Elephas maximus indicus: one gene and its partners. The protein of the gene in region 4 interacts with the protein of the main gene of each other region in a biochemical or structural test. Links are inferred from orthologs where the notes say so. Each region holds a gene or a part of one and is shown on either strand. Other genes may lie near its edges.

Region 1 (7,487 bases), on a different chromosome or scaffold from region 4:
GTTCTTTGGGAAAGGTTGAATTATATATAGGGCACCTTAGGGCTTCAGGCAGATAGTTGTCTGGTAGACTGATGTAATGAGTACAAATAGGCAAGAAAACAGCCCACAAACCCCAGAAGAGTCAGCTTCACCACTTCCCTGGCCCCTAATCTTTCCACAGACACTGGAGGGGAGGCCAGGAGCTCTCTCCCTATGGCTGTCTCCCCTGGCTTCCCTAAGTCAGCAGCCATGGCTTCTCCCCACGACTCCCGCAGCACCTTCTGGGCCCTTCTGTTATCTGTGAGCACAGCTCATAAGTTCCCAGAAGACAGGCACATTGTCCAGTCACCTCTGTGTCCACCAAAGCTCTAAAGTCACAAAGGGTGATGCCTTGTCCACACGAACGAACAGATGACTGAAATTGTTTCTTCTTTCCTTGGCCTTGTATAATCTGCTAATGTAGGATGTCTGTTGCCCTGAGAAGTGCCCCCCCACAAAAAAACAGCTTTTTGCAGGAGTCCTGGGAGGTGACTCACACGTGCTCAAGATCAAGGCTCGAGTTGCCATGGGGCACCTTACAGTTGATTCCTTTTTCCTGGCCCGGCACCCCCATGGTGATGGCACAGCCACAGAGCACCCCTACATGTTCCCCTGGGGCTACCAAGAACCACAGAAGTCCCTTGCTGTGCCGGGGTGTGGCCAAGTGAGCAAAGGAGACACTTCTCATTTTTGGAGTGTTGATACACAGGAGAATGACCAGGACTACAGCGCCAGGACTAAGACTCCTCCCACCTCCATGGGGGCTGTGTTCAGGGCAAAGCTGAGTGGCCCCCTCCACCCTGTGCTCAGAATCCCCTTCCATTCTAAAGACCAAAGGTCGCTACCTGATGAAGCTGGTCTGGCTGATTCTCTTCCCTCAGGTAGCCCTCCCCACCAGAGGGCTAAAATCTCCCTGGCAGCCAATAGACCTCCAAGGACCACCCACAGGGCCTCAGTTAGCCCAACCTTCCTAAACTCCACGGAGAACAAAGTTTCAGCTGGAACCCCCTCTTCCCACCTCCCCTCCCCCAAAAGAAGGAAGGGATGAGTGAGCAGCCTGCTCATCCCTGCTTTTCTGGTTTGGGGAGGAGGTCTGGAATGGGGTTGGCAGTGTGTTGGGCCCAAGAGTCATGCTGGTGACTTTTGGAAAGCTGGAATGAAGGGCTCAAGAGGGACTCCTAGTTCCACATTGCAGCAGTATTGGCCTGCAGTTTTCTAGGGTTTTCCTTTCAGTGTCTCTGACACTTCGTTCCAGATCCCTGGTTACCTCATATTTGTTCCCATGAAATCAGAAGTTGAGACACATAATACATACATTCACAGGTAGCCAACTGGTCCCTCTGTGCTTACCAAGTGCTGGGGGGAAGGGCGGGAGGGGTGGGCAGGCAGCAAATCCCCCCTGCACGGATGCTGGGCAGGTCCCTTTGCCCAAGCTCACATATTCATGAGATCAGCTTCTTGACTCCAGCACACAAACCCCGGCCCTGGAAATTGCCAGCTTCCTCAATTGTAGAGTACAAGTGCCATGGGCCAGGCCACGACCTTGAGGGTTGTGCCTTCAGCCACATTAGCTAATGTGAGCAGGTTTTTCTGCCTTGGTGACCCGCCTCCCTCCCCAGCCCCTTTTCTCACCGAGTCCCTGGGAGATCCATCCACAGCAAGGACATGGGACAGTTCTTGGTACCTACAGTGCCTGCAGGACACACCACCAGCCCCAGGCATCCCCAGACTGCTCAAGAACTCACACTCTGTAGAGCAAACCTTATGGTCCTGGGTAATGAACATTTCATTCAGGGGAGGGAGCGTGCTGTAGAATAATGGCCCTGGATTTCAGGGTGATAGCCTCAGGGAGCTTGGGAAGTAGGAAAAACACTGAACTTGGAGTCAGAAAATCCAGGTTTGAGGCCTGTCCCTGGCACTTCCTAGCAATATGACCTTGGGTTAGTTGCATAACCTCTCCAAGTCTCAGCGTCCTAGATTAAAACAGGGACAGACTACCTTTGCCTTGCACAACAGTGTGTGAAAGTGCCTTGCAACTGCCAAATGCTAAATAAACATTGCTTGCGATTATAATTTTTATGCATAATACTAAAATCAAATATTACCAGGTACTAGGAAATCCTTGTTTTAATTCTAAGCCTATCACCCATGCACAGTGGTGACAACATCATGCTTCCCCCTAGCTGTAACAGGGAGGTAACGAAACTTGTCTACGGTGGCTCCTGCCATCATGAGGGCTACAGGGTGGCGAAGCTGGGTGGCTGGGATGCTCTTTGAGGGTTGGAGAGCACTCACATGGTCTGACCTGGGCTTGGGCTGAGATGCATCCACCCTTAGGCAAAAGAATCCCAACACTGAGCTAAGTAAACTCTATGAGGCGCTTTGTTACAGCTTCCTCCTGGCCCTTTGCGAGGCACTTTCATGAACATTTGGTCTTACCTGATCAGTGAAACAAAGGAAAGTACCCTAGAGAAGGGAGGGGAATGACCCCAGGCCCCAGCTTCCAGTCAGGTGAATAATCCAGTCTTCTTGGCCCTGGTGTCCAGAACCAGAAGGCGTATGGGTGAAGTCCCCTCGGAGACGTCCTCCCCCACCCCCACCCCCACAGAGGTTCCCCCATCCCCTCACTGCCCGCAAAGCCGAAGCTTCTAACTTCTGTTTGGCCCGATCAGGCTGCAGCCCTAACAGCAGTTTGAATCTGGTGCCAGAATTCCGCGCATGTGCAAACTAGGATTTTGGTGCATGCACAGGACCTGAAGAGCTGTGTCCTCAAGCTGTCCTTGGGCCTGAACATCACCAACATGATTCAACATCCAGACGTCCAAATGTGGACATGGGAGGGCTAAGGGCGGAGAGTTCCGGGCACCAAACCCAACCCCCAGACACCATTAGAAATGAAATCTCCCCAACTCACCAAGACAGGGAACATGGGGTCTTTTGGCTGCTAGGCCCCATGTTGCGCCTTGTTTGCACAAACAATAAATTTCCACTTTCTGTTTCTCTTGCAACTGGTGGCGTGGCATCTCTCTTATTTCAGTCGACTAACAGGACAGGCCAAGAGCCCGTCAGGCTACACTGGCAACATGCAAGTCACAACCCCACCCCACCCCCCTTGTGCAACAGACCCCCACCTTGCCTCATCCTCCCGGGCCCGCTGAGCAGAAGCCACTAAAGGCCACCCCACCCCTCTGAGCTTTGACCACAAGTCGTGCCCTGTGAACTCTCTCAAGAGGGAGGTCCCATCTGGGCCCTTCTCACACTGGCAGCTTTGGGGCTTGGTTTTTCCCTCTGAAGAAGGGCCCTGATGCTAACAACTGCCAGGGTCTCTGGAGATGAGGAGAAAGTCATTCTCTGGTAACAGTTGCCCAAAGTGTATTTTCTGATGTTATTTAAAAGGAGGTAGGCTGGTCTTTTCCTGTGACCCTCTAGAGCTCAACCGACATCTCATGCGATTCCTCAACTCCAGCAGGTGTGTCCACCAGCAGAGGGACTTAGGACCTCTCGCTCAGAAGCTCCCATCCAGGAAGTGACAATATCCCCTGAAAGCAACTCATGCCTCTCTGACACTATAAAGTCACACTGCCAGGGTGTCAAGAAAGGGCTGGAGCAGCTGAGAAGGCATCAGCCCCTTCTAGAAAAAGCCCAAACCCTCTGTGCCTTCACTCAAGGGTGAGCTGATGTGTGTGGAGAAAAAATTTGCCCCAGGAATCTGGCACTTTGCAGGTAAAAACAAGGCTCATTCAGTCAACTTAAATAGTCTAATCCCATTGAACATGACCTTCATTATCATTCAATAGCTAAGACCAAAACCCTTCCAGTCCTCCTGTAATCCACACCTCTTGTTGGATTCGGGGATCATTGGACAATGCTCCATCATCGTTTGACTCCCTGACTTCCCATCTGGGACTCTCGCTCTAAGAGAGATAGTTATGCTGATCATGATTGCATGCCTCTTCTAGTTCCCAGCCCAGTGCTGGCTCTCACTATAAATTAATGAATTAGCATTCTCATCTAGACATAGGAAGCTAGACTCTAATCATGAGAGATGGATATTTGAGGAGATGGGCATACTGAAGATCAGATTTCTGAACTTGCAAGGCTTGGCAGAGGAAATAAGTAATGTCATCTTCTGGGATCTCAGAAGATAGCCAACTTGACCTCCATAGAGACACCCAACCATCACCACTGGCTATGTCACCTTTTTATATAAGTTGATATAAGTGTTCATTTACCTGTTACTACACTAGGTTAGAGGTCCTTGACGCAGTGAACATGCCTTTACTCATCACTGCATGCCTAGAACCTAGCACGGAGCCTATTGCATAGTAAAGGGTCAACCAATGTTTGTAAATGAGTGATTTAAAAAGGAATGAATGACTTGAGTGTAACAATAGTGAGTTAAATGGCTGCTTATGTTTGCTCTCCTCTAAATCTCAATAAAACCACCATTTTAAGGAACACATAAACCCTCAAGGATAAAAAGAACTGGAGAGGAAATAACAGCAATATTTGACAAACCAGAAAGCAGGTATACTCTACGCTTGCACAGGATAAAGCAAGGAGCCAGCACAGTGTACACCTCAGAATCCCAAAAGGGAGACATGTTGGTAGCACTGTCTGCCTCTGGCTGTGGGGGTGAAAGAGGAAGCTGAGAAAAGGAGAATTGGCTGAGAGTCTGCTTAGGAAGTACGGTAGTTAGGTCTGCAGATCCATTCCCTGTCTCAGCTTAAGCAAGAAACTTCTCCTGTCTCTTTCTGACAGTCAGCTAGAGACTTCTTCTCTGGAGGAGGTAAAACATAAGTCCTCTGGACTAAGGGACACAGGCACCATTAAGGATGAAGTTATCGTATTTCTAAAACAAGGAGGAATATGCAAGCATATCCATACTGGATGTCAAGATCCACGGCTGTCTTCTCTCACTTGATTCTGGAACGCTGGCAGCCAGACCTTGACTCCCCAAGAGGGAGGTTGAAAGAGCTGTTCCTGGGAAATTTGACTAGCCCAAAAGGAAGAACCTAAAGTTATTGATATCAGGGGTGCCTGCAGTTAAATAGCGCAGCCAGAGCTTTCTACAGAGAGCCTGATAGTTGTCAAGCCCCATCCACCTGCCCAGAGAGTCCTCTTACCAGATTACCAATATCTGAGGAAACCCATAAACCCATTGCCCTCAAGTGGATTGTGACTCACAGCGACCCTCTAGGAGAGTAGAACTGCCACATAGGGTTTCTAAGGAGCAGCTGATGGATTCGAACTGCCATCCTTTTGGTTAGCAGCTGAGCTCTTAACCACCATGCTACCAGAGCTCCATCTGAGGAAAGCCAGAGCTAAAAAACCATAAAACCAAACCCAGTGCCGTGGAGCCGATTCCAACTCATAGCAACCCTATACAACAGAGTAGAACTACCCCACAGAGTTTCCAAGGAGAACCTGGCAGATTCGAATTGCCGACCCTTTGGTTAGCAGCCGTAGCACTTAACCACTACGCCACCAGGGTTTCCCCAGAGATAAAACAAACATAAAAAAGCAACTTGGCTTTGGGAATGGTTCCTGTCCTGAGCCAGCAGAAGGTCTGGGGGCCATGACCACTGAGGTCCTTCTAGTCTCAGACCATTAAGTCTGGTCTTTTCAAGAGAATTTGGGGTCTGCATCCCACTGCTCTCCTGCTCCCTGAGGAGTTCTCTGTTGTATTCCCTGTTGGGGCAGTCATCGGTTGTAGCCAGGTACCATCTAGTTCAGATCAGGTGGACATTTGAGACTATGTTGGCATCTCCTGCCTGGAGAGGAGATGAGAGGGTAGAGGGGGTTAGAAGCTGGCAAAATGGACATGAAAAGAGAGAGTGGAGGGAGGGAGTGGGCTGCCTCATTAGGGCGAGAGCAATTGGGAGTATGTAGCAAGGTGCATACAGATTTTTGTGTGAGAGACTGACTTGATTTGTAAACTTTCACTTAAAGCACAATAAAAATTATATATATAAAAAAAGCAACTTGGTGGAATAGACAGATGCTACGCAGGAATAAAACTACAAATAGAAAGGATGTTATAAAAAAAAAAAATGACCTTTCACAGAATAAAAAAGGGGGAGGGCCCTTGGCAACTAAAATATGATAGCAGAAACAAGAAACTCCACAGAAGGGCTGAGAGAAAACGTTGAGGAAATCTACCAGAACATAGAGCAAAAATACAAAGAAGTGGAAATTAGGAGAGAAAAGATAATAAAATGAGAAATTTCTGAGGCCTAACATCCTAAGTGATCAGAATTATGGACCAAGACAATGGAGAAAGTAAGAAGGAAATCATCCAAGAAACATTGCAAAAAAAAAAGAAAAAAAAAAGATTCCCAGAAAGGCTACCTAATTCCCAACACAACAGATGAGAATCGTCCCACACCAGGTCACATCACTGCGAAGTTTCAGAACAGTAGGAACAGAGAGAAGACCCTGCTAGTTTTCAGGAAGACGAGGACACATAAGACGATCAGGAATGTAACTACCTTTGACTTCTCACCAGCATCATTGAAATGTGGAGGAAAATGAGGAAATCCCTTCAGCATTCTGAAGGAAACTGGTTTCCAATTTAAAATTCTATACCTGGCCAAGGTGTCAATCATGTAGAATAGAGATCTTTTCAGATATTCAATCTCGAAAAAATTTTAACCTCAAACGCTCTTTCTCAGGAAGTTAACTGAAGAATGTGCTCCTCCAAAATGAGAGAGTAAACCAAGGGGGAAAAAAAAAAGACATAGGATACAGGAAATCGGGAATGCAATGTGGGAGGAGCCAAGGACCCCCGCCCCCCCGCCCCCCGCAAGGCCCACTGCACCAGGCAAAGGGGCAACCAACCCAGATCAGGGGAGGGCAGAGGCGAGGGGAGCTCGCTCCAAGAAGATGACGTGAACATCTGGACATCGTGAGACGAGATTTACACTGCGGTGGAAATTCTCATTTATCTCCGTGATGAGAGCAAAGAAAACCAAGCCAACACAAAACCAAGACAGTTCCCTACTCCAGGGAAAACAAAAAGTTGTGCAGGAAAGAAAAAGTAATCTGATTTGCTACATGGATCAGCTATGAATAGAAGTTTATAGACACAATAATATTAACACTGAATATTTTTCCAACCAAAATCATGACATAACTAGTGGGAGAACAGGACACGGGAAGGGCACTCGCATGTGGGGCGGCCAGGGGTTGTGAAGGTGGGGGTGGGAGGAGAACTGAGTTCCCATATTCACTAAAAAAAAAAAAAAAATTTTTTTTTTTTTAATGGGAAGTTAATAGCTGGTGTCTAAAGCTGACTATTAGCCAAAAGGTTAGCGGTTCGATCCCACCCAGAGGCATCTTGGATCTTCCAAAAGGTCACAGCCGTGAAAACCGTATGGGGCAGTTCTACTATGCACACATAGTGTCGTCATGAGCTGGAATCGGTTCAATGACAACTAATAACAACAACAACAAAGCTGAAACATCTG
Region 2 (7,828 bases), on a different chromosome or scaffold from region 4:
AGCGAAGGGAGATCAGAGTTGGGGAGGCAGGAGCCGTGACAGCTGAAGATCGGCTGAGGGACAGGGCGTGGACAGGGCAGAAGCCAGGGGAGGGGGCTCCAGGAGGAGTGGGCGGGGCGGGTCATGTGGACTCACCAGGAGGGCCTTGGGGCCTGGAGTCCTGGGATGGAGGAAAAGCCATGGGAAGCCAGAGGCCTGGAAGGCTGGGGAGGGGGAAGGTGTGGGGGGGGGGGCTAGGCCAGCGAGGGGTGATTGGGGGTGGGGACAAACATGGGGGATGGGGCCGAGCACAAGGGTGGGCATGGGGGAGGCACTGGGCAGCACCAGTTGGGGGATGGGGATGTCCCAGCAGAAACCTCTGGACACAGGAGGGACAGTTGGATAGGGTTCCCGTAAGGTTCAGCAAGTGAGTTTTCAACAAATCCTGAATGTACCAAAGCTGGCTCCTCCACAAAGGCCAGGAGATTGTCGGGGGTAGGGGAACAGGCCTGTGGTCAGGGCCTCCTCAGGGGGCCAAGGGCATTCCAGGGGAAGCTTGGCCAGCCCCACGTGGGTCTTCTCCCCAGATCCCCCCATGTTGTCCTTAGAGCCCCTCAAGCCACCCCCAGCACTTAGCTCTTGCCCCCTCGAGTGGGTGCCAACCATCTGGGTAAAACAACAACAACTGGGAAGGGGCTCTTGTTTTGGAGAATCTTGTTAACCGGGAGGTCTGTCCCTGGGCCAGGGCTGGCGGCCCCTCACCTTGGAGAAGGTGATTCTCTTACCAACAGGGGATTGGGGTGCCAAGGGCAGCTGGGGCCTGCACCCCAGCACTCCAGAACCCTAGACAGACGTCCATGGGTGCTCCTGGGAAAAAGTACATGTCGCCAGTGACCCCTCACAGCATCCCCCAGCTGACCTGCAGGGCACTCAGGCACAGTCCTTCACCAGGTCCCACACCAGTACACTGGGGCTGAACCAAAAGTGGCCCCATTTTCTGCAGAAAGTACATGCTCACTTTACAGAAAAGGGGTGTTTTGTACCCCTAGCACTAACCCCAGAGGGTGTGGGTCCCCTTGTCCATGGGTGTCTGGTGGAGGAACTGTGGGGCTGTTAAAGAGCATTTCCTGTTGTTATGGGACACTCTGCTCTGGGTTCGAGCCACTGGAGGTCAGGCGGTGGAGAGGCCTCCAGGTGCTCATGGGAGGGGTGCCCGGGAAAGTCCTAGAGATGGGAAAGAAAGAGGCCTTCATAGTGCACGGAGCACTTCCCACGAGGCCCCCGGGAAGCTGCCCATGCCATGTCCTCACTGTGGTTTTACAGAGGGAGAGAAGGTAGCCCCCACAAGGGTCAGTTCAGGGGACAGCAGCGTGATCATCAGGACAGGGTGGGGTGAAGAGGTTGACCCTTCAGTCCTTCGGATTAAATGATTCCCGGTGGTCAAGGTATCCATCCCAGGAGAGTGACACCATACCAGGCCCCGACCCTGGAGCTCACAGGGGCTCACACCACAGAGGGGACAGAGAGGGAAGACTGGGGCAGCCGTGTCAGGAGGCTGAAAACAGGCTGGAGAGAACGAGTGAGAGGCAGGGAGGTGGCAGCAGAGCCAGGAGGCTGAGGGAGCTATTAAGAAACAGAAAGCAGAACTGAAGAAGGGCATTTGGAAAGGCGAGATGATGTCACTGGCATAAATAGGACAGACGCCAGGCAGTGCTGAAGGGAAGTAGGGCCTAACCAGCCATCAGCCAGGTACACCAGGTATGCCCAAACCTACCAGGCCCACTGTCCTCTAACCCACCCATCTCCCCAAAGCCTGGCCCTCCCCTGTTTTCCTTTTCTTGGCGAAGGACATCATGGCCCTCCAAGGCCCCAGAGGACCCTTTTCTCTTCACCCTGCCCCTCCCTGTTCCAAAAGCACTTCTCAAAATTCCCTGAAAGCCCACTGCTATACCATTGTCTGACTTGGCCACTGGGGCCCCCAGGATCCCCCTTCAATCTGCCCCTGCCCCCCTCCACCTAGTAAATTACAAACCCCCTCACACCACTGCCAAGTAGGACCCCCCCCCCAGTGTTGGTCACCAGTTGGAATTTTGATCCTATAAGCTCTGAAGAGAGCTGACCTTACCCAGGAGTTCATGTGAACCCCACTTTACCAATACACGAGGCCATGAAAGTAAGAGACCGACCAGTTTACAGAAGAGAAAGAAGACGTTCCGTAGGAAAACCGTTCCTGCAAGGAGGATTTTATTGGGGTTTCTATTTTTAATAGCATGTTTTTTCTTCTTTTCTGCACTGGAAACAAACAAAAATGTCATTTCAATATCAGACCGCAAGGACGCTTCCTGGCTCCGTGCACTAAAAAGCCAAGTAGACCAACAGAAAATACGGCGACCAGGAGCCCTGAAGCGCGAGGAGCCTGGGATGCTCCAGGCGCGGAACTGCGCAGACGCTAGGCGCCCAAGACCGACTGCGGAGAGCCGGCGACGTCGGAGGTGCACCGGGCCCAGTGAGGGAGGGGGCGACCAGTAGCGATCTGCACGGCCACTCCAAACCTCGCCCTGCCTGCTCCAAGAGCCCGACTCCTGAGCCCGGCTGCGGCGCACCTCCGACCCGACCGCGGCGGCCAGCGACGCTGGGAGCGCGCATCTCTCAGGGAAGCCGGCGGACGCGGCAGGGGCTGGGAGGCAAATTCGAACGCTGGCGCCCAGCTCTGTCCGCTGCGTGCCCAGCAGGCAGTTGGTCGGTCCCTGTCCGTCCGTCCGCCGGGTAGGGTAGCGGAGACCCTCACAAGCGGAGCGAGGAGAGTCCTCGGAAAGGGGAGCTTACCGATCTTGGCCAGGCTGGCCACGAGGATCCAGAGTGCGATGATGTACGGGTCCTGGACGTGGTGCCACTTGAAGGTGACCACCTGGAAGCCCTCGATGGAGCCCTGCGCCCCAGGCTCCTCGGCACCCCGCGCCCGCGGCAGCCCGCCCAGCGCCAGCGCCAGCAGCAGCCCCCAGCCGGGGCCCGGGACCCCGCGCACCGCCATCGCCACCGCTCAGCACCGGGTCCGCACGCGCATGTCACGGGGACGTCCTGCTGCGCTTGGCAGGACCAGCGGAGCGGAGCCGAGCGCGCTCCGGGACTGGCGGCTGTCACCTTCCCGGCCCGGCCGGGAGCCCTTTATCTGGAGGCCCCCTCCTGCGCCCGGGGCGGGACCTTCCCGCCCATGCAGTGCACACGCAGGGCGGACACCGCACCGCCCTCGGCCGTCAGCCCCGCCCCTCACTCTCACCTCGCTCCCCCCCTCCCCGTCCGGCCTGCGCGCGCCCGCCCAAGTCCCCCGTCGCCCGCCCCCGGAGCTGGAGGCAGGGACAGCGCGGGCCCGAGGCCCGCAGGCCGGGCGGTGAGGGGCGAGCTGGGCAGGAGCCGCGGGGACTAGGGGGCCGCCTCCGCTGGGGTCAGAGCGCAGCTGCGTGTGTAACGGGTCCGGCCGGACCGGGGTCGCTGCGACCTAGGCTGCCGAGCGAGGGGGCGCCCCTCGGGGACTTAGCTCAGCCCGGGGCATCCCTGGGCACACTCGCCCAAGACGCTCCGCCTCCGTCGCCGCGGCGGGAACTCCTGGACACAGTCCCACGAGAGGCTCGAGGGTGAAGCGTCCAGAAGGATGCTGGTCGCAAGTCGCGCGCTTTATCTTAAACACGACAACCCTAACGCATGTCTCAGAACACCGTCCACCAACTTCTCAAAAACGAAGGGCCACCACCCAGACTTGGATGGTGCAGCAGCGACTCCCTCTGCCCCGCCTCGCGGACGGCCACCCCAGCCTGGCCCCTCTGAGGGTCCCTCCTGGGGCCGCCGGCGCACCCCACCTGCCCAAACCCCGAGCACCACGAGTCGAGTCCTCTCCACCCGGGCACACCCCGGCGGAGACCCACCTGAGCCCCGTGCTGCTCCACTCGCAGCCCCGTTGGCCTCGCAGGCCAGTCCCGCTCCTCACCTCCCTAGGCCGACCGGCCAGGGCAGGGCAGCTTGTCCCGCCAGCTGTCCCGCCCCAATGTGGAGGCCTGCTGGACCTGTCCTCTTTTCTCACGCTGCGTTCTAATCCTCGACATTCCTCAGTACAGGTCTAAAACCCGACCCCTGCTCACCACCCCGGTCAGCGGGCAAAGGCCTCCGGGCTGTGCCCCCTTCCTCCTGCCCCCCTCCAAGTGGTCCCATCGGCACTGTGAACCTTGCAACTCAGAGCAAAGCCCATATCCTGTCCTTCCCTGACGCCAAGCCCTCCCAGATCAGCCCCTCTGGCCTCCTCCCCACCCCCAGCCCCCAGCTCACCCCATACTCCCCATTGGGGCCTTTGCCGGTGCTTTTCCCTCTCTGGGAAGGCCCTTCCTTTCTATGGCTCAGTTTAAACACTCCAGCCCCTCCCTGCTTCTTTCCCTCCACAGCAGGCTCTCCTCCTGAGGTGCCGTTGCTCCAACTCTCCTTACTGTCCCCCTTCTCCATGTCCCTGCCCGAGGGGGGTTCCGTGGGGACTCTCTGCTATCTCCCCAATGCCTAGAGCAGTGCATGGCACACAGCGCATGCTGGAAAGGTTTGTGGATGGCTGCCTGGCTGGCTGGCTGGTTGGCTGGAGGGAGGGAAGCAGGGGGAGAGTGATGGGGTGGATACAACCTCTAAAATTTGAGTATGAGAAGGGGCTACCAGGCCCCAAGAAGGGCAGTGCTGGCCCAGATGACTGTTCTTGCACTCATGCTGAGGGGAGGTGGAAGTGTATAGAGAGGATGGATTCAGGTGGGGGATGGGTGGCTGGGCACTGGGTGAAGCTGGTGACTATTTGGGAGGATGCCACAGACAGGCTCAGTCTTCACGGGCGTCCTCGGAGTCTCTTCCAGCTGCAGAACCTCTGCTGGGGCCCCAGGGTCCCTGGCAGCTGCCAGGAACCCGGCCTTGTAGAAGGAAAGTGAGGCTAACTGGAGCACCCAGGAAGCAGCCCTTCCTGGAAGCTAAGCACAGGGTCCCTGGGTGCTAGGGAAGCATGGCGTGGCATGGCTGTGGAGGGCTGCCCAGCCCACAAGTGTCCATGCTGAACCTGCCTCTGCCTGGCTCCGTTCTCTGCCTCCTGTCCCAGAGAAACAGCCACCAGACATCCAGGGGCAGAGCAGGGTCACCTCCAGCCCCGACACACTTCCCTGCTCTTTCTGACCATTTCTGGGCAAAGCCTTGGAGGAATGTCCTCTTTGAAGATGCTGTCTTGGAATTCCACAGGAAGGCCCAATTCTCAGAAGTGTGTGCTGAGACACCAGTGATCCTCCGGTCCCACCACCACCCACCGGGCTTCTTTTCTACTAAGTCAACCTGTCCTGAGCTCCTTGGCCCTCCTCCCGGGAGGGGCTACTTCTGAGAGTCCCCTGAAGCAGTTCAAAGGGCAGAGGAGCAGCACATTGGCACGTGGATCTGTGGATTTGGAGTGGACACTGATGCAGGGCACAGGCTTCCTGAGGACAAGGGAAAGGCACACCTATGGAGGGAAGAAGGGAACAGGCCCCTAACAGCATGTGATGTGCACCTCTCTGCCCACGGCTCACCATCAGGGTGAGGAGCCAGGCTGTTTGGCAGGTTCTCTGTGCATTTGTAGAGCGGTGGGCACCCGTGCTCCAAGGTTGCTGGAAGGCTCAGGTCATGGTTGTAGGCAGGGCCACTACCTGTGTCTACAGACTGTGTGCACGGCACCCCTGGAGGTGTGTGCTGTGCAGTCCACACTGCGCTGGACACATCTAGAGGTGGGGGTGGGGGGGGGTCTTGGTAAGTGTCCTCAGGCCCCTGATGATGTGTGGTGATCTGATAGCTGCCCCAATCATTGCCACTATGGAGCCGCCTGCACACACAGGAAAGGCCATGCCTTACAACCTACATTTTGCAAATAACCAGCGCCAAAGAACTGCAACCTACCTAACCTGCTGCAAGCACCTCAAGTTCAAAATTAAGAAAACACAGGAGGGAAACACCTAGTCCATCACACTAATTTCTGGTTGTGAATTTCATTCATGTGGTTTGTGAAAATCACCTAGTGAATAAAGAGGCAAAAGGTTTAGAAGCAATTTACACTTTTTTTTTTTTTGGACAAGAACAAGGGCTGAGGTAATAACTTCACTGCCATGCTTTTAGGGGAAGGCCCTTGTCACCTGCATCTACAAAGGGTTTACTTTTAAACCCAAAGTGGCACACAGTGCCCTTATTGAGAGGGAAGGGACCCGGGTTCATCACGCTCAAAGCCAGTCATTCCACGACTCCCTTTTCTCCATCCATCCATGGGTGTCCGTGGGTGCCAGGTTCTATCTAGGCACCGAGAAAAAGTCTCTCTTGGAGCTAACCTTCAACGCCTGAACTTGAAATCACTTCTGCACACATCACCTTGATGGCATGTTCACGGGTTCTTGTTAGATTGCTAGAAGAAAACTGCGCTTCTCAAAACGAATTGTCGGCTCTGCCAGGGCCTGCCTGTCGGCCCCTTTCCCAGGGGGTGTGAGATGCCTCTGCCAAGGGCGTCCTCGGGTGGGACAGGGGGACCTGTACTTTTTGCTTCAGGGACAGGCTTCTGATCCATCCAGAACCCAGGCTTGCAGGGCAGGAGGGTCTGGCGGAGCCCTGTGGGGTTTGGGAAGGACGCCCTGAGTCAGCCCGTGGCCAGACTGGGCGGGAAGGTCTCATTCCGAGCAGGGCTTCGGACATTTCCAGCCTCTCATCTCTTACCTCGTCACCCAGGACATGCCGCCTGGACCGGCAGACCCGAGCCTCCGCCGCCACGGGGTCGCCGGACTGACACCCCGGATCCGGATCCGGGGAGGCCTGGGTCGGAGTCAGATTTCCCGAAATCGCCACCAGCCAGGTTATCCGAGGGCGGGGGCATCCAGAGCCGGAAGGGGGCCGCTCCTGGGAGGAGGCGGCGGGGCGGGGGGACCGCGGGGAGGGGTGCCGGGAGCAAGGCGGCCTGGACGGAGCCTGGGCACAGTCGCGCACAGTCCCGGTAGCCGCTCGCTGGGTCCGTCCGCGCCGGGCGGGGAGGGGGGGGCCGTGGGCGTGGAGACCTGGACAGGGACCCGGCGTGGGCAGGGCGCCGCCGCGGGTCTTGCCCCCCGCCTTCCCGCAAGAGGGGCAGTGCTCGGAACTCTGTGGGCCAGGGCGCCGCTTCCGAGCGCGGCTCCGCCCCGCTCCCCCTTCGGGAACTGCAAGGACTCCTGGCCGTGGCCTCCCATCTGCTTTTCACTTCCCGCGGGGTCTCCCGCTTCAGGTCTTTGTCTCCTTTCTGCATTCTAACGCCCCCTCCCGCCCCACCTTGACCCCGCCCCCCTCCTGCCCCTCCTTGGGTTCCGCCTCAGCCCACCGAGGCCCTGCAGACCCCCTGGCCACATCCTCGCAGCCCCAGGCACAGGCAGCCCCTCGGTGGGTCCCACTCTCCCTGGTGTCCGGACCCCTCCTCCGCCGGGTCTCCGGCTCGGCTCCTCCCTTCTAGAGTCAGGGCGCCTTCCGGAGGTCCCCTACTCAGGGCTGCACCCCAGCGCCAGGGCCGCACAACCAGCGTCTCCTTGGCATCTCTGCAAGGCCCCTAGTCTGAGAGCCTCCGACCTGCACCCCCTCCTCTCACCCCTGAAAAAGGCCCTTGTCCTCCAGGCACAGCCCGAGGCCTGTAGTCTCCCTCCTCGCATTCGCAGCGAGCCTTTCAGCAAAGACGGGTTCCCTCGCTCTACCCTAGGGCCCCGGGATCCCTGCTTACGCCCCAGCACCCAGGGCCGCCGCCGGACTCTCGTGCATTCCTCTAGACTCCCACTTGCTCCTGGGGCCTCCCTCACTGCATGCCTGGGATCGC
Region 3 (7,474 bases), on a different chromosome or scaffold from region 4:
TAGCCATTGTAAAAGAATTCAAAAGTAATTCTGGAAGGGAAAAAAAAAAAACCTATGGATTTCCAGAGATTTGTCACATATTCATTTACTTAGAGTTACTTCCATTTTCTGAGTTCTAAAACCTAAGGGTACAAGTTGGAAGTTTCCAATACAAAACCATTTCTGCTCTTTCCCCAAGGGAAAAAAGAAAAATGCAAAGATATGTTCAAATAGCCTTCCCCATGCATTCGGGTGGTGCAAATGGTTAAGGGCTCAACTACTAGCCAAAAGGTTGGCGGTTCAAACCCAGCCAGAGGCTCCTTGGAAGACAAGTAGTGATCTGCCTCCAAAAGGTCACAGCCTTGACTACCCTACGGAGCAGTTCTACCCTGCACACATGGGGTTGCCGTGAGTCCACATCAACTCCACAGGAACTAACAACAACACACGTGCAGGTGGGGCAGTGGTGGGGCAGTGGTGCGATTCTCACCTGCCCGGCGGGAGACCTGGTGACGTTGCCAGCCGATGCACACCACCACCCCTCAGTCAGTGGAGCTTCCAAGCTAGGAGGAAAGCTTGACGATCTATTTCCAAAAATCACGCAAAGAAAACCCTACAGATCGCAACTTTCTGAGCGGCAGGGATCATGAGGACTGGGCAGTGTTTCATCCTGTTGTGCATGGGGGCTGCCATGAGTCAGGGCCAAAGAAACAGCAGCGAGCAACAACAACAACCCTGGAGAAGCTACACAGTACAACAGTCACAACAGCGGCTCTGGAGCCAGACTGCCTGGCTTTGCATCCTGCTCGACGGCAGCAGCAGACCATTCCTGCAACCCTGGTGGCACAGTGGTTAAAAGCTCGGCTACTAACCAAAAGGTCAGCAATTCAAATCCATTAACTGCTCCTTGGAACCCCTATGGGGCAGTTCTACTCTATGCTTTAAGGTCACAATGAGCTGGAATTGACTCACAATCAACAGGTTGTTTTTGCTTTTTTTAAGATCGTTACTAACTCTGCGGTCCTAAGCAACTTATTCAACCTCTGTAATTCAGTATTTTCACATGTAAAATAGAGGTAACTCCCCTCCCCACACACCCAGCAGGGAAACCAGAAATGGGCACCAGTCGTTCATTATCTTCCAATTTCCTTCAACTCTTCAGTTCCGCCCTGAAAATCCACAAATCGGAAGTGCTTCAAGAGTTTATTGCCCTGCCTGAAGTTCAGGAGACCCACCGCCGTTTACCTTCAGGTTATTTATGGTAACCACACCCATATTCCTTCCTCCTGCCACCCAACAGACAAGAGGTGTCCCTGAAGACTGAATAAACTACAATTAAAACAAGAGTACAAGCACTCAATCCCTTGGGATCTCCTGGGTTTTTTCCATTAAAGGCGGGGTGGGGGGAGTTTAATCATCAGAATATGTGGAAAAGATTAAAGGGCAGAGAGATCAAGAAACAATAGGTCTAATTATCAACCGAGTGTGATTAAAACACAAAGGCTCAGGCCCACCTATTTAACAGTCACAGGCACTAGCTAGAAACCCTTCGTTAAGACGCTTCATCCCTCTGGGCACTTTGCACGTTGCTTCACCTGAGTGTTTCTTCACGAAAGAGGGAGGAGGTGACCACTAAGTGGTTTTAGGACCTAAGATTCCTTGACAGAACTACCTGCATCAGGGCCAAGGACCGCATCTCTGAGAGGTAGAGATCCCGATAACATCTCCTTCCACAAGGCCTCAGGGACTCCATCCCCAGAGTAGTCCTCACAGGTGGAAGCGAAAGCACTGGCAATAGGGAGAGGAGCTGGTCAAAGACATCCACCGGCCTTGCCTGTGGGTGTCCCAGTCAAAAGCAAAGTGTGGAAGCTGATTTTGTTCAAGGATTTCCATTCATTAAATAATTTTAAAAATGTTATTTTATCCACACGAAATTTGCCTTAACTACGTGCCACTACACATACACACATACACACACACACACACACGGAGAAAGACATGGTCATAGAGAAGACACACAGCAGGAGCTCCCGGGAGTTGGAATGCAGCTGTCACGTAAGGTACAGAGGAAAGGGTGGGGGACTTTTGGGAGATGGCTTTGGATCAGGTTAGATAAAGGATAAAGGACGCTGTCCATGAACTGGCGTTCACAAAGAGGAAAAAAGTGCGGTTTTCATGTAGGAGGACTGAGAATCCCTGCGCGGTGCGTGGGAAGCCAGCTAAAGGTGGGAATTGGGGGATTCCGGACGCTGTCCCCTGGGGAGTGAGTCCACCTTTTGCCAGTCTCAGTTCTCCGCCTCCGGCTCCTCTCCCCCGGGACCAAAGGCGGGTGGGGCCCGCGAGATCCCTCAGCAGGGCAGGGAGGCGCGCACGTGCCCTGCGCCCCAAGGTCCCCGCAGCCGCCGACCGCGCGCGCTGGGGCGCAGGCAGGCACCACGCGGCTGGCCGTGAAGGCCCATGCGGCGGCCCCACCGTGGCAAGAAGCCCCAGCGTGGACCGATGGGCACAGGCGGAAACCGCTCCGGCCACCCAACCCCATAAGGCACCGGCGGCATCAGGCACAAGCCCGGGAGGGAGCTGACGGGGACGGCAGCGGCCGAAGGACCAAGGGACGGGTGGTGGAGGGCGGGCCGGATCGCGCCCTCGGGGACCAGAGGCAGTAGGTGTCCAGTGCCGGCGGAGGCGCGGCACCCAGGGTGCTCACCAGAAGAACACGCGCGAGCAGAGGTTCGCGTCCTGCAGCGGATTGGGCTTCACCGCCTGGTACACTGGCAGCATCGTGGGGGCCGGGGGCGGGCAGGAGAGCGTCGCGGGCCGGGGTCGCGCTGTGGAGGCGGCGGTCGCGGCTACCGCAGCTCCTGGAGGCGCCGGCGGGGATGCTGCAGCTCCGGACGCCGCGCGGGTCCGCTAGGCGAGAGCCCGAGGAACACCCGCTTCCGGAAGCCGGACGCCGGCGGCACGCCCAGTCCCCGCCTCCCGGGCCGCGCGTCTTCCCGGGGCCGCCGAGTTGGGGGGGCCAGCCGCGCGCCGTCGCCTGGGGCCCGGGGACGCCGCGAGCGCGCCCGGGGGGCAGCGGGGTGGCCGGCGGAGGGGGCTGGCTGCGGGTCTCCCGCCTCCCGGGAGGGCAGGGGTGCGAGTCCCAGGGCGCAGCCGTGGGGTTCGCGCGCAGGTGGGAGGCGAGGAGGAGCGAGGCGGTGCCGCTGGATGGAGGAGGTTAGGCGGACCCCTCGGGGCGGAGAAGCCGGCGCCACCAGCCGGGCCTCGGAGGCCGGGCCAGGCCGAGGCACCCACGTGTTGGGACCTGACTGCAAACTTTGCGGTAGTTAAAGATCAGAGCCAAGGCCCCGGCACGGCAGGTAGCGAGGGAGGCGCTGGCTGCCCTCCCCCGCTTCTCGGAAGCGCCCCCTGGGCTGCAGGGCGCAGAAGAACGGGAGACAGCTGCCAGCTTTAGCAGCCGGGCCGCTGGGCGCCTTGCCTTCGTCGGGACCAAACAAGGGCGCTGTGGGAGGTTTTCCAAATCTGCCGGCCAACTTTTTGACCTTGGACAACAGCAGGGTTTAGCACAGATTCTCTTTGTTGAGCTGCAAGACTTGAAGAAATGCGGGTGGTTTAAGATTTGTTGTTGTTAGGTTCCCGCCCGTCAATTAGGAAAATGAATAAATGCTGTCCTTGAGGGCGGGCTTTTGAGATCTCATAAGCATTGTAGAGTGAACTTCTGGGACGTTTTTGCTACCCTCTCAGATTGGGAAAGGGAGGGTATGAGGAGAGAGACACTGTCCTAGGATTTCTTTCACCGGGTCGTCACAGCCTGGCGGAGAAACAGTGGCAAAAACAACGTACGTCATAGAGTACCGGTAATGCATATTTGTGGGTACCTTACCTCGTTTTAGCTAACAAAGACCTATTGAAGAAGGTATTATTATCCTTTTACAAATGAGGAAGGCGAGGCTCAAAAAGACAACCGCTCCAAGGTCTAAAAAAGAAGTCGTGGTTGAATTCCGAGTCATGGCGGTCCGTGTGTTAGGGAGTAGAACTGCTCCACAGGGTTTTCTTGGCCGCCGTCTTCCGTGAAGCAGATCACCAGGCCTTTTTTCTGAGGCACCACTGGATGGGCTCCAACGCCAATCTTTCAGGTTAGTAATTGAGGGCAAACCATTAGAGCCACCGAGCGACCTTAAAAGGCCTCAAGAGTCAGTAAATGAGGAAACCCAATTTAGACTCAAGTCTGAGTCTCAGCTTGGTCACACGCACGGGTGGATGATCGGTGTGGACAACAAGTGCCCAGAATACACTGCTTGAATGAATGAGTGTAGGCATGAATGAACAAAATCATATCCCAGCTTTTGAACTCCCACCCATAAACCAAAAACCAACCCCGTTGCCATTAAGTCAATTCTGACTCCTAGTGACTATAGGCTTTCCAAGGCCATAAATCTCCACAGAAGCAAACTGCCACACCTTTCTCCCACGGAGTGGCTGGCAACCGCAGACCTTTCAGTTAGCAGTCAATTGCTTTAACCACTGCGCCGCCAGGGCTCCTTTCCCACTCTTACGTCTTAAGTTATTTATGTCCCCACCTAACCTCTTTAACCCCAATGAAGAAAAATCACGTTATAAGTTCATGGTGCTTAAAGCAAGATCATTTTATTATTCAAAAATTTTCCATGTACCTTTATTAAAATAATCTTATTAATAATGGTTTTTAAAGGAGGCCATAGAGTATGCAAACATTTTTTAAAAGTTGTATAAGGATGACAAAATGTTGATAATTTTTGAAGCAGATGATGGGTGACCAAAAAAAACCAAACCCGTTGCTGTCAAGTTGATTCCGATTCATAGCGACCCTACAGGACAGAGTAGAACTGCCCCATAGAGTTTCCAAGGAGCATCTGGTGGATTCGAACTGCTAACCTTCTGGTTAGCGGCCATAGCACTTAACCATTACACCACCAGGGTTTCCAGATGATGTGCATGTTATTTGTGTAACAATATGGTAAATGAAATGTCCAGGACAGACAAATCTATAGAGATGAATGTAGATTAGTGGCTGCCTGGGGCTGGGGAAGAGGAGCAATTGGGGGAAGGGAGAGCGACCACTAATGGGTACAGGACTTCTTTTGGGGGAGATCAAAGTGTTCTAAAATTAGATTATGGTGATGGTTGCACAACCCTGACTGCTAAAAAAAAAATGCTTTAAATGACTTTATTGATTTATGTGAATTATATTTCAATAAAGCAGTTTAAAAATGTCAAGGTTCAATAAATTTTAGATGTTCGTATTATACCTACTGTCTTAGTCATCTAGTGCTGCCGTCACAGAAATACCACACATGGATGGCTCTAACAAAGAAGTTTATCCTCTCACAGTCCAGTGGGCTACAAGTCCGAATTCAGGGTGCCAGCTCTAGGAGAAGGCTTTCTCTCTCTGTCAGCTCTGGAGGAAGGTCCTTGTCATCAGTCTTCCCTTGGTCTGGGAGCATCTTAGTGCAGAAACCTCAGGTCCAGAGGATGTGCCCTGCTCCCCGCGGCGCTGCTTTCTTGGTAGTATGAGGTCCCCAGCTCTCTGCTAGCTTCCCTTTCATCTCTTGAAACATAAGAGGTGGTATAGGCCACACCCCAGGGAAACTCCCTTTACATTGGATCAGGGATGTGACCTTAGTAAGGGTGGTGTTACAATCCCACCCTAATCCTCTTTAATGTAAAATTACAATCACAAAATGGAGGATAACCACAGAATACTGGGAATCATGGGCTAACCAAGTTAATACATACGTTTCTGGGTCAATCCATGACACCTACTGTATGCCACCTGTTGACATTTAGATGAATAAACGCAACATCTGCCCTTGCATTGCTCACAATGTTCTGTTTCATTTGTTTTGGGGAGTGGCCTGGGCATTGGTACTTTCTAAAAGCTCCTAGGTGATTCTAGGTGAATTAGGTAATTCAGCATCCAGGACTGAGGTGCGGAGAGAGATGTGCACACAGCAGCCATCGTCCAGTATGAGTATTACATTAAATGAATGCATGGGATGCTGGAGAAAGGGGAGGAAGGTGGCTAGGGCAGTTAGAGGAAGTGGCGTCTAAAACAGGTCTTGAAGAATCAGAACATCACCTGGTGGGCACGAGTCAAGAGGGTTGAGGACGTAGTCCCACATAGAGGGAAAGGCCCAAGCAAGGCACAAAGAGAGAATGCTACCTTGTCTGACAGTCAAAGACACAATGTTAGAAAGGGTACCGGAGCTTACGCTGGAGCCCGGTGGCACAGTGGTTAAGAGTTTGAAATAACAGGTTACAATTCAAGCTGAAGAACACTGAGGGTACAGGTCTTCCATCAGGACAGCCTCTTTTTAGCTGTGCTCGCAGGCACACCTCTCTCTGCCCCTAGGCCTCTGCCCTGCTCCGGCAAGTGTTACAAAGCTCTCTTAGCTCTGCCAGTAAGCACCCAGAGGCACTCTACTCTGCCAGCAAGGCTCCTCCCCAAAGGCACTCAGCTTTCTCACTCCTTCTGGGCTCTTGCCACCGTTTCTCTGCCACTGCTTCTCTCTCTGTCTCGTGGTTCCAGGAGCTTCTCAGCACAGGGATCTCGAGTCCAAAGGTCATGCTGTCTGCCCCTGGCTGTTCTTCCTTGGTGGTGGTGGGATCCTCTTTTCTGGAATTGGCTGTCTTTTTAAGCCCAGTGGGATGCCAAAACTGATCAATCCCTTTGATGAGTTAAAATTACCCTATTCGCATAGTCCTGCCCAGTCACCTGGGACCATGGTGAGAAAGGCCACACACAATCCATCACACCAAAGCTGCTAACCAAAAGCTAAAAAGTTGGTGGTTTGAATCCACCAACAGCTCCTCGGAAACCCTGTGGGGAGTTGACAGCAACAGGTTTTTTTGGGTTTTTTTTTAGAGCAATGAAGTCTCTGCCTCCAGTGAGTTCACTATCTAGAAAAAGAACAGATAAAATTACAGGCAAATTAAAACATCCATTTTACCGATCAAGTTTGGAAAGATTTTTTTTTTTTTAACATACTGTTGCTGTTAGGTGCCCTCAAATCAGTTCTGATGCATAGCAACCCCATGCACAACAGAACAAAACACTGCCTGGTTTGGTTTTTTTTTTTTGTGTGTGTGTTTCTGAGAGGCTAGTAAATTGAAGACAGAAGAGCAACCATTGGATTTGGCAAGGTGGCGGCGGGGGGGAGTCTTTGGTGAATTAACCAAGGCAGTATTTTAAAGAGCAACCCCATTGCCATAAGTTGATTCCAGCTCATAGCGACCCCATAGGGTTTCCAAGGCTGTAAATCTCTGTGGAAGCAGACTGCCACATCTTTCTCCCATGGAGCCGCTGGTGGTTTCGAACCACTGATCTTTCGGTTGGCACCCGAGAGCCTTAACCACTGCACCACTAGCTCTCTTTATTTTAAAGAGGGGGATATAGAAACCCTATCCAAGTGTGTCGAGGAGAGAATGGCATGTGAAGATGTAGAGACAGTGATTAAAC
Region 4 (7,762 bases):
GACAGTGACACAGGGGCCATGCTGCCCCGACCTCACCCAGTTTAGAACACAGGCAGAGGGCAGGAAGAGTGGGCCTGAGTGGCCAACACGGAGATCACCAGGAGAAGAAGCCAGGGGCCCTGAGAGGCTGAAAAGCCCCAGGAGGAGGCCTCAGGCGTGACCAGAAGCAGAGGTGCAGACAAGAGGCCGAGGCAAATCCTGTGGGCAGAGCCCACCATACCTTCCCGCCAGCCTCGGAGCCCAGATTGCCTGCAGCCACCCAGTCTTGCTTCGGCTCCCAGGGGTCGTGGGTGGGTGGCAGCCCCTGCTGGGCCATCTCCTCCGTGCAGGTAAGCTGCCGCCGGCGCAGCTCCTCATCCGTCTCCTTGTCCACCACCAGCAGCTGCGTCTGCCCCTCCACGGCCTTGATCCTCTGTACCACCTGGGACAGGTGGATGGTGGGACTAGGTCAGCAGTCAACACCCTGGGGCCACACATGGACGGCAAGACCACCCAGGGCTGGCTGGGCCAGAGGGGGTGGGTGGCTGGACCTAGAGGCCCGTGGCCCCACCCCCCACCCCCAGCTCTAGCAGTGCCCTCCCTTCTTCTCCCAGGACTCCCAGCACCTTGGCCCAGGCTGCAAGGGCCGCAGGGTCCTAGCAGGAGGAGGCTGCAGGGGGCAGCCAGCTGCATGAGTCAGTCTGGGGGTGAGAGCTGGTGCACATCTGTATATGTGTGCATGTACACGTGCATGTGTGTGTGTTCACATGCGTGCGATCATCTGTCTTGGGGTCTGTCTCACAGTTTGGGTAGGAGAGAGGAAAAGGTGTCTCCTGGGCCCCTGTCTGGGTGCATCTGTGCCCATTTCTGTCTTTCTTGGCTGTGGAAAGTGGGCATCTAAGTCTCTGCCTGCCTCTAGGTCTCTGTTCACCTCCAAACCAAGAACTTGGATCTGTTCTTGAAGGCTGCAGAGAGGTGACAAGGTCCCCACTCCCATCTGGGCGAGGCTCAGACACCACACACATGGTGTCTGGTCAGAGATCAGCCCCGGCAGGTGGATGCAGGGAGAGGCAGATCCACCTGTGGGCCAGGTGTGGTGTTGTGGCTGAGTGTGGGCCTGTGTGCATGCCTGTGTACGAGCCTGGGGCATGTGGGCAGCATGGGGTGTGTACGCCAGGGTGTGGCCACAGGGGGAAGGCCCAGTGTCCACTACAAAATGGGGCCACAACCCCACCCAGGCCACATGTCCTGGGGAGGGTGGAGGGCCTCTCCCTCAGCTGCTGGGCAATGTTGTCAACAGATAGGAGGGTCTGGCCCAGGCCCATCTTCTCCCTCCTTTCTCCCCATGATCTAGAGAGCTGCTGGTACCCCAAGACCCTGCTGCTCCCTGTGTGACCTGGACGAGACACCCACACCTGCAAGCATCAGTCTCTTCATCTGTAAAAGGGGAACCATCACAGCACCTCCCCCACTCCTGCGCCTCGGAGGGCAGTTGGAAGGGTCCCTCGTTCTGTGGGGGGTGTTCTTAGAGATTAGCACCCTGGAAGGCCTGCGATAAGCTGGCAGTCTTGGGGTGAGGGTGGTGGCAGCTGGTAAACAGAGGCCAGCCACCAGCTCTGCTAGCTACCCTGCCCTCCAGCTTGTCAGGCCAAACCCTCCAGCCTCTGATGCCCACCCTCCTTCAGCAAACAGCCTTATCCATTTGACACTCTGGCTGGAAGTCAGGACAGCAGACAGATGGACAGAAAAGGGCCCTGAGGTAGAAGCAGTTCAGCTCCTGGCCCAGCCAAGAACCCACTTGTTTGTCTCTGGGCCCAGGGGCTGGCCAGCTCACAAACACCCAGAAGTAAACCTGTATGTACACAGACACACTCAGCCCAGCTCACACCCACAGCCCAGCTCAGACACACCCCCAGATACAGACTTGTATGCGCACAGACACACACAGCCCAGCTCACATACACCCAGATGTAGACTTGAACACACATACAGACACAACCAAGTGCACACACATACATACTTATACACACACACGCATATTCAGACCAGTTCATACACTCAAAGCCCAGGTCACACACACACCCAAATGTGCAGAATGTACACACACATACACAGAGCTGGGTACACACACATGCACATAGATATACACAACGATACAGGCACACACAGGTGTATTCATATACCCACTAGCCCTTACCGTGACCCCCCCCCACCAGGTACACACACAGGCAGATGTGTGCACACACGGGTGACCCCACAGGGCCCTGCACAGTCACACACACACCCAACCGTATGTACACACATTCATAGAAGAACACCCAGGGTCTCTACTTTCGGGCATTCACAAACCCCCCCAAGGTGCACCATCCCTCATCGTGGGCGCTGAGGCCAAAATGAGCCTCCAGAGCAGCTGGAGCCGCAGTGCGGGCCCCTGCCTGCCAGGATGCCCCCCCCAACCCCACGGTGCAGGACAAGCTTCCTCGGTGGGTGGCTGGGAAGGAGGCGGGCGCTGCCTCCGTGGCGCGTCCCCATATCTCCCCCCCACCACCACCGGGCCCTGCAGGCCTGCGCGACCCCCTCCGGGCCCCAAGCCCCGGCCTTGCGGGGCAGGGGCGCGCCGGGAAGGGGGCCCGGCAGGGGAAACCCACCTGGTGGTGCGTCTCGCCTTCCACGTTGACGCCGTTGACCTCGATCAGGCGGTCCCCGGCGCGCAGCGCGGCCGCCTCGGCTGGAGAGCCGGGCTCCACGCGCCGCACGAACTGCCCGCGGCGGCCCTTCTCGCCGTGCAGGTGGAAGCCGTAGCCCAGCTCGCCGCGCACTAGGCGGCACAAGCGCGGCCGCAGCGGCGCGGGCCCAGCCATGGCGGAGGGCGCTGGGACGCGGGGCTCGGCTCACTGCCCGCCGCCCACAATGCGGGACGCGGGGGGCGGCGCGGAGGAGGCGGCTGCGGGGACCGGCGATCTCGGCGGCGGCCCTGCTTCGCTCCAGTTGCCTCGGACTCCGGCTCGGACTCAGGCTGCGGTACCGCCCCTCGCCCGCCCCGTCCCCGCCCCTCTGCCGTCGGCCCCCGCCCCCCGACCGAAGTCCCCGCTGACCGAGAGGCAGGGCTGCCGGGCCGGCAGACCTCGGAGGCTCCCACTGTCTCAGCCTCAATCTGGGCAGCCTCCTCGGCGCCAGTGCCTCCTATTCCTGGATCATTTATTGAGTACCTACTGTGGCATAGTGGTTGAGCGCTATGCTTGCTAACCAAAAGGTCAGCAGTTCAACTGCACCAGGCTCCTTGGAAACTCTATGAGGTAGTTCTACTCTGTCCTATAGGGTTGCTTTGAGTTGGAATCGACTCGATGGCAATGGGTACTGCACGCATGGCACCAAAGCAGGCTCTCCAGTGGGTGAAGTGGGTATAGAGAGGGTCGGTCCCCAGGCCCAGGGACCCCACACAGGGGCCGATGGGTAAAAACAAGGGCTTTCCCGTCTCCACCACCCTCTCCCCCAGCACTTGCCCTGCTGCCTGCTCCTCCTGTCTCTGAACCTTTCTCTCACCCAGAGCTGCTCCCCCTGCAGCCCAGGGTGGGCCAGGAGGCCAACAGAGGGGCTCAAAAAGCTGCATGGCTGTGGCCCTCCCCACACCTACTAGTCAGGGGATGGGGCACTCCTGACCCTCCCAGGAAGTGTACTATCTGTGCTGTGTGTCAGTTAAACAACCCCCTTCCCTGACCCCTCCCTCTGCTGGGGTCCCTCACTGGTGTCATCTCAGGGGCCCCAGGCCTGGACCATGTCTTTGCAGTTGCTGGCTGGGAAAAGGTGTGGGGAGGGTAACACCATGGAGAGGTCTTGTGCCACCCTCTTCCTGCCTGGGATGCACTGTGCTTCAGACACAGCTGCGGTCAGTATGCACAGGGGCTGTTCCACATTGAACTGGCCCCTGCGGGCCTCCCTCCCAGCCCCACTTCCCCCAGACAGACAATAAACATTATGGAGAATCACTTATGCTTCTGTTCTGCCTCTCTGGGGACCAGATGCTGTGTGCATCTTACCTGTAACAACCCTAGGAGCTGGGCCATTTTACTGGTCAGGAAACCCAGACCAGCTTGGGTCTAGGGTTGTGACGTTCCAGAGTTCACACTCTACTGTGGGGCCCTTTTGCAGTCTCCAAGGCAGGAAGACAGCTGAGTCCCAGGCTGACCCTCTGCCCCCCGGGCCTGTCTCTCCCCATCCCTGCTGACCCCTGCACATACCTGGTTCCTGGGGGTCAGGCACATCCAGCCCAGCCAGTTCCCCATGGGGGAGCCGTAGTAGACTCAGCCTGATCCTAGCAACTCCCTCGCCTCCTTCCAGTGCCCTCGGCCTTGGCTCTCCAGGCCCTGCCTGAGCACAGGGCCTACCCCTGAGCAGCATCCTGGGCCAAGACTCCCTGGGTGCCCACACCCCAGCTGTTGCCCCTAAAAGCCACTTAGGCTGCATAGTTGCTCCCTCACGCCTCCTCTGCAGTTCCAGCTAATGCTACTAGAGGCTCAGACCTGGCTGGCCACTGTCTGCCTCTCCAGAGGCTGTGTCTCCTCACCTTGCCTGTGACTCATCCTCTCTGGGCCCAGCCTCACTGGCACTGCTTCCCTGGGAGGCTGTGCAGCTGGGTGCAGGCCTGCCATATGCCATACCTGTGCAACCAGGACCCCCAGGACTTGCCAGGTTGTAGCTGCAGAGCCACAGTGGTGGCAGGGGAGGTGGATGGTTGGGGGACCCCAAGCCAGGGGCTGGGGAAGATAGGGGCACCTAATCACCTGGGTTGGGGGCTTGGGGAACCCCCCTCTGTGGAGCACACTCTCATAGCCCAGACTTGAGGCCCTCCCTGGCCTTCTGCAGCCCAGTACTCAGCTGTTCCCCACCCCCCCCCACACCCTACACACACACCCGCCAAGACAGAGGATGGAACAGCGAGGAGAGTTTGGACACAACAGTAACTAGGAGCATGTGGTCACAGCAGAGGGCTAGGAACCCAGGAAGTATCAAAGGAACACTGAAGTCCTAGCTTAGCAAAGGTGGCTCCAAAGAAAAAAGAAGCTGCGAAAGTACTCAGGAAAGTAACCCAGTAACAAATGGGAGTAACAAATGCAACATCAGAGTAACAAAGGCAGTGGAGAACAAAGGTGGTGGGCTCCTCCAGCAAGAGAGGAACCAGGGTAAGAATTTCAAGGGGTGTAGACTCCACAGCAACAGGTTTGTTTTTGTTTTTGTTTTTTTAGCACGAATAAGAGGAGCCCTGGTGGTGCAGTGGTTAAGCGCTCAGCTGCTATCCAAAAGGTCAGTGCCCGAACCCACCAGCTGCTCCTCAGGAGAAAGAAGTGGCAGTCTGCTTCCATAAAGATTTACAGCCTTGGAAACCTATGAGTCGGAATTGATTCGATGGCAATGTTTTTTGTTTTTGTTTTTTTTTAAGCAGGACTAAGTGCAGGAGAGATGAGTAAGCTGGGAGGTCCCCCAGTAGCAAAGATGAGGAAAGGTGGCCCAGTGGCTCTCGTGGGCCACCCCTCCCCAGGCTGCCACCCCCAGCCTTGCTCCGGGGCTGTCCCTAGGCACAGTGGTCCACTGTGGTGGCAGCAGAGAAAGGGAACAGTATGAACTCAGGTGCTGAGGGGCCGCAGCTCTTTGGGGTTGCAGGGCATGGGGCAAGGGAGAGGGCTGGGAGACCCTGGGTCAGCGCCATCTGGCCATGGGGCAGGGATCCTGCAGAAAGTGGGCTCTACTTTGCTGGCTGTGAGAGAGTGTGGCCTAGCCCCCCAGGCCAGCAGCAGGCAGAAAGAGGGTCAGGTGAGAGGTGGTCAGAGACCTTGTTGTTGACCATCCACCCACACCACCCTGCCACCTGCATGCCCAAGCTGTCACATGTTTCTGTCCCTTCCCTCCTCTGGGCTTTGGGAGGATCCACCTGCAGTGAAGTCTGCCCCTGTGCTGGACCGTAGGCCCTCCAATCCTGGGGCAGGGAACTTTCCTCTGAGCATTGAACCTACATCCCTTTTGCAACTGCCCGCCCAGCAATGGAGCGGAGCCTGAGGCCCGGGTGGGGACTCGGGTGTGGCTGCGGGGTGGGCAGAGGCCTGGTCACTGCCTGAAGAGGGTTGGGGGCCCTGGCTGGAGAGCGGAGCCATTAGTTTGACGCCCCAATAAATGCCCCAGAGCTTCCCGAAGGGCGCTGCCGCCCCGATGGGAACTAATGGCCCCAGTAGAATAACCAAGCCTTGTTTAGGGCCTCCTTCATCAGACTACCCCGGGCCCTGGGGCACTTTTTAGAGCCCGAAATTGGAGCAGGCGGGGCCAACGCGATGGTATTAACAGAGACGAGAGAGAGAAAGGGAGATGCAGCAAGGACCAAACAGAGAGGAGGGTCAGAAAAGAGGCAGAAGCGGCGCTAGGGTAGAGGGGACCAGCGGCCAAGGTGGCCTGGGTAGCCCTGCCTCGCCCACCCGCTCTGGCCCCGCCCCTAGCCCCTCCCACCGCCGTCTCCGGGAACAGCAACCGCGCAGCGCCACCTTTCGGCTCTGGGCGGGATTGCACCGTCCAAGGGCTGTCCTGGGTCCCGTCCTAGGGCTGGAAATTGGGGTGAGACCGGCTCCCTAAGACTAGTTGGGCTTCAGGGCCATATGGGGTGTCATGGGGCACAAAGGGACCTCTGCCTGGCCCCTAATCCTCTCTGCCCCCCCTGCACCTGGCACCAACCTCTCTAGGCTGGAGTACCTCAATGCCCCCTGAAATCTGGGCACCGTGACCCGGGCAGTTCGAGGTCCAGGACAGTTGGGTGGAGTCAGAAGCCAGATTTAAGACGGTTAAAGAGGGAGGAGGGGGGGAGGGGCCCAGACGCTTGAGGCAGGCTGGAGCTGAAACCCTGTGGGGGGAGGAGACAATTCAGGAGGATATACGAACCGGGGGGGGAGGGGTCGCGAAGGAGGAAACCATAGTGAATGAGGAGAGCGGGTCGCGGGGGGTGGAGGGGAGGCATAGAGAGCCAGCTATGAAATGAACGCAGGAGAGAGCAGGAAAGTCTGGTTGGGCTGCCTGGGCTTGAGGTCGGAGCTGTAAGGCAGCTGGGAGCTGTGGGTGAGGGGGTCCGGCTCAGCGGTATGAGTTCCCACCTTCTCCTCCGGTACACCTCAGTGGATGGCAGTAGGGCCCAGGGTCTGTCTTGCTCCTCTCCACGTGGGGCCAACTCTCCCCCGGATACCCTGGCACCTGGCCTGGGGACCCCAACCCCTGAACAGGAAGCAGCACTGGCAGAAGAAGGAGCCCAGTTTCCGGCAGCGTCCCTGCCCCTCCCTTGCCCCCCCTCAGGATATGTGGATCTCGGCCGCTGGGTGGTTGGGGCTTCCTGCAGCCAGAGAAGGGGCTTCTGACATTTGCCAGGGCGTGGGAGCGGCTGCTTCTGCCCCAGACCTAGATGACAAAGTTCACAGCGCGGAGAAAAATGGTCACACGCAGGGGCGCGGAAACCAGGCGGGGTTTATTGACGAGACGACTGCCCTGGGCACAGCTGCGCGCTCTAGCAGCTGCATCGACTCCTCCGGGGTTAGGCGTGGGAGCGCTGCGGGCAGGAGCTGCTTTCAGGGTGGCCCCGGGACTAGGCGGGGACCAGCGAAGGCCGCTCGCTGCCCCGACAGTGGCTGGGCGAGGGGCGTCTCTCCGAAGGCTCTAGAAAGAACAGCGGAGGGCCCTGGGGAGGGGGCTGAGCACCCTCTGCTGCCTCGCCCCCAGGGTGGAAGGGTAGAAATGCGCCGGGTTGCATTTTCTCCGT

What was found.
Region 1: the proteins of NHERF2 (region 4) and KCNJ1 form a complex in vitro, tested with the Homo sapiens proteins (2 studies listed by BioGRID and IntAct, with this or other methods). The link is inferred for Elephas maximus indicus from reciprocal best matches to the Homo sapiens genes NHERF2 and KCNJ1.
Region 2: the proteins of NHERF2 (region 4) and SLC9A3 form a complex in vitro, tested with the Homo sapiens proteins (2 studies listed by BioGRID and IntAct, with this or other methods). The link is inferred for Elephas maximus indicus from reciprocal best matches to the Homo sapiens genes NHERF2 and SLC9A3.
Region 3: the proteins of NHERF2 (region 4) and ABCC4 form a complex in vitro, tested with the Homo sapiens proteins (2 studies listed by BioGRID and IntAct, with this or other methods). The link is inferred for Elephas maximus indicus from reciprocal best matches to the Homo sapiens genes NHERF2 and ABCC4.

What each region holds. Positions count from the first base shown.
Region 1 is NC_064835.1:32,677,857-32,685,343, forward strand, and holds the start of KCNJ1 (ATP-sensitive inward rectifier potassium channel 1), read right to left. Parts: upstream 3,003-7,487; 5' UTR 2,933-3,002; intron 1-2,932. UniProt on the Homo sapiens protein: Inward rectifier potassium channels are characterized by a greater tendency to allow potassium to flow into the cell rather than out of it.
Region 2 is NC_064820.1:582,660-590,487, forward strand, and holds the start of SLC9A3 (sodium/hydrogen exchanger 3), read right to left. Parts: upstream 3,011-7,828; coding exon 2,806-3,010; intron 1-2,805. UniProt on the Homo sapiens protein: Plasma membrane Na(+)/H(+) antiporter. Exchanges intracellular H(+) ions for extracellular Na(+) in 1:1 stoichiometry, playing a key role in salt and fluid absorption and pH homeostasis.
Region 3 is NC_064832.1:89,849,394-89,856,867, forward strand, and holds the start of ABCC4 (ATP-binding cassette sub-family C member 4), read right to left. Parts: upstream 3,014-7,474; 5' UTR 2,758-3,013; coding exon 2,684-2,757; intron 1-2,683. UniProt on the Homo sapiens protein: ATP-dependent transporter of the ATP-binding cassette (ABC) family that actively extrudes physiological compounds and xenobiotics from cells.
Region 4 is NC_064830.1:59,124,211-59,131,972, reverse strand, and holds the start of NHERF2 (Na(+)/H(+) exchange regulatory cofactor NHE-RF2), read right to left. Parts: upstream 3,004-7,762; 5' UTR 2,841-3,003; coding exon 2,628-2,840; intron 422-2,627; coding exon 221-421; intron 91-220; exon of another isoform or gene 1-90.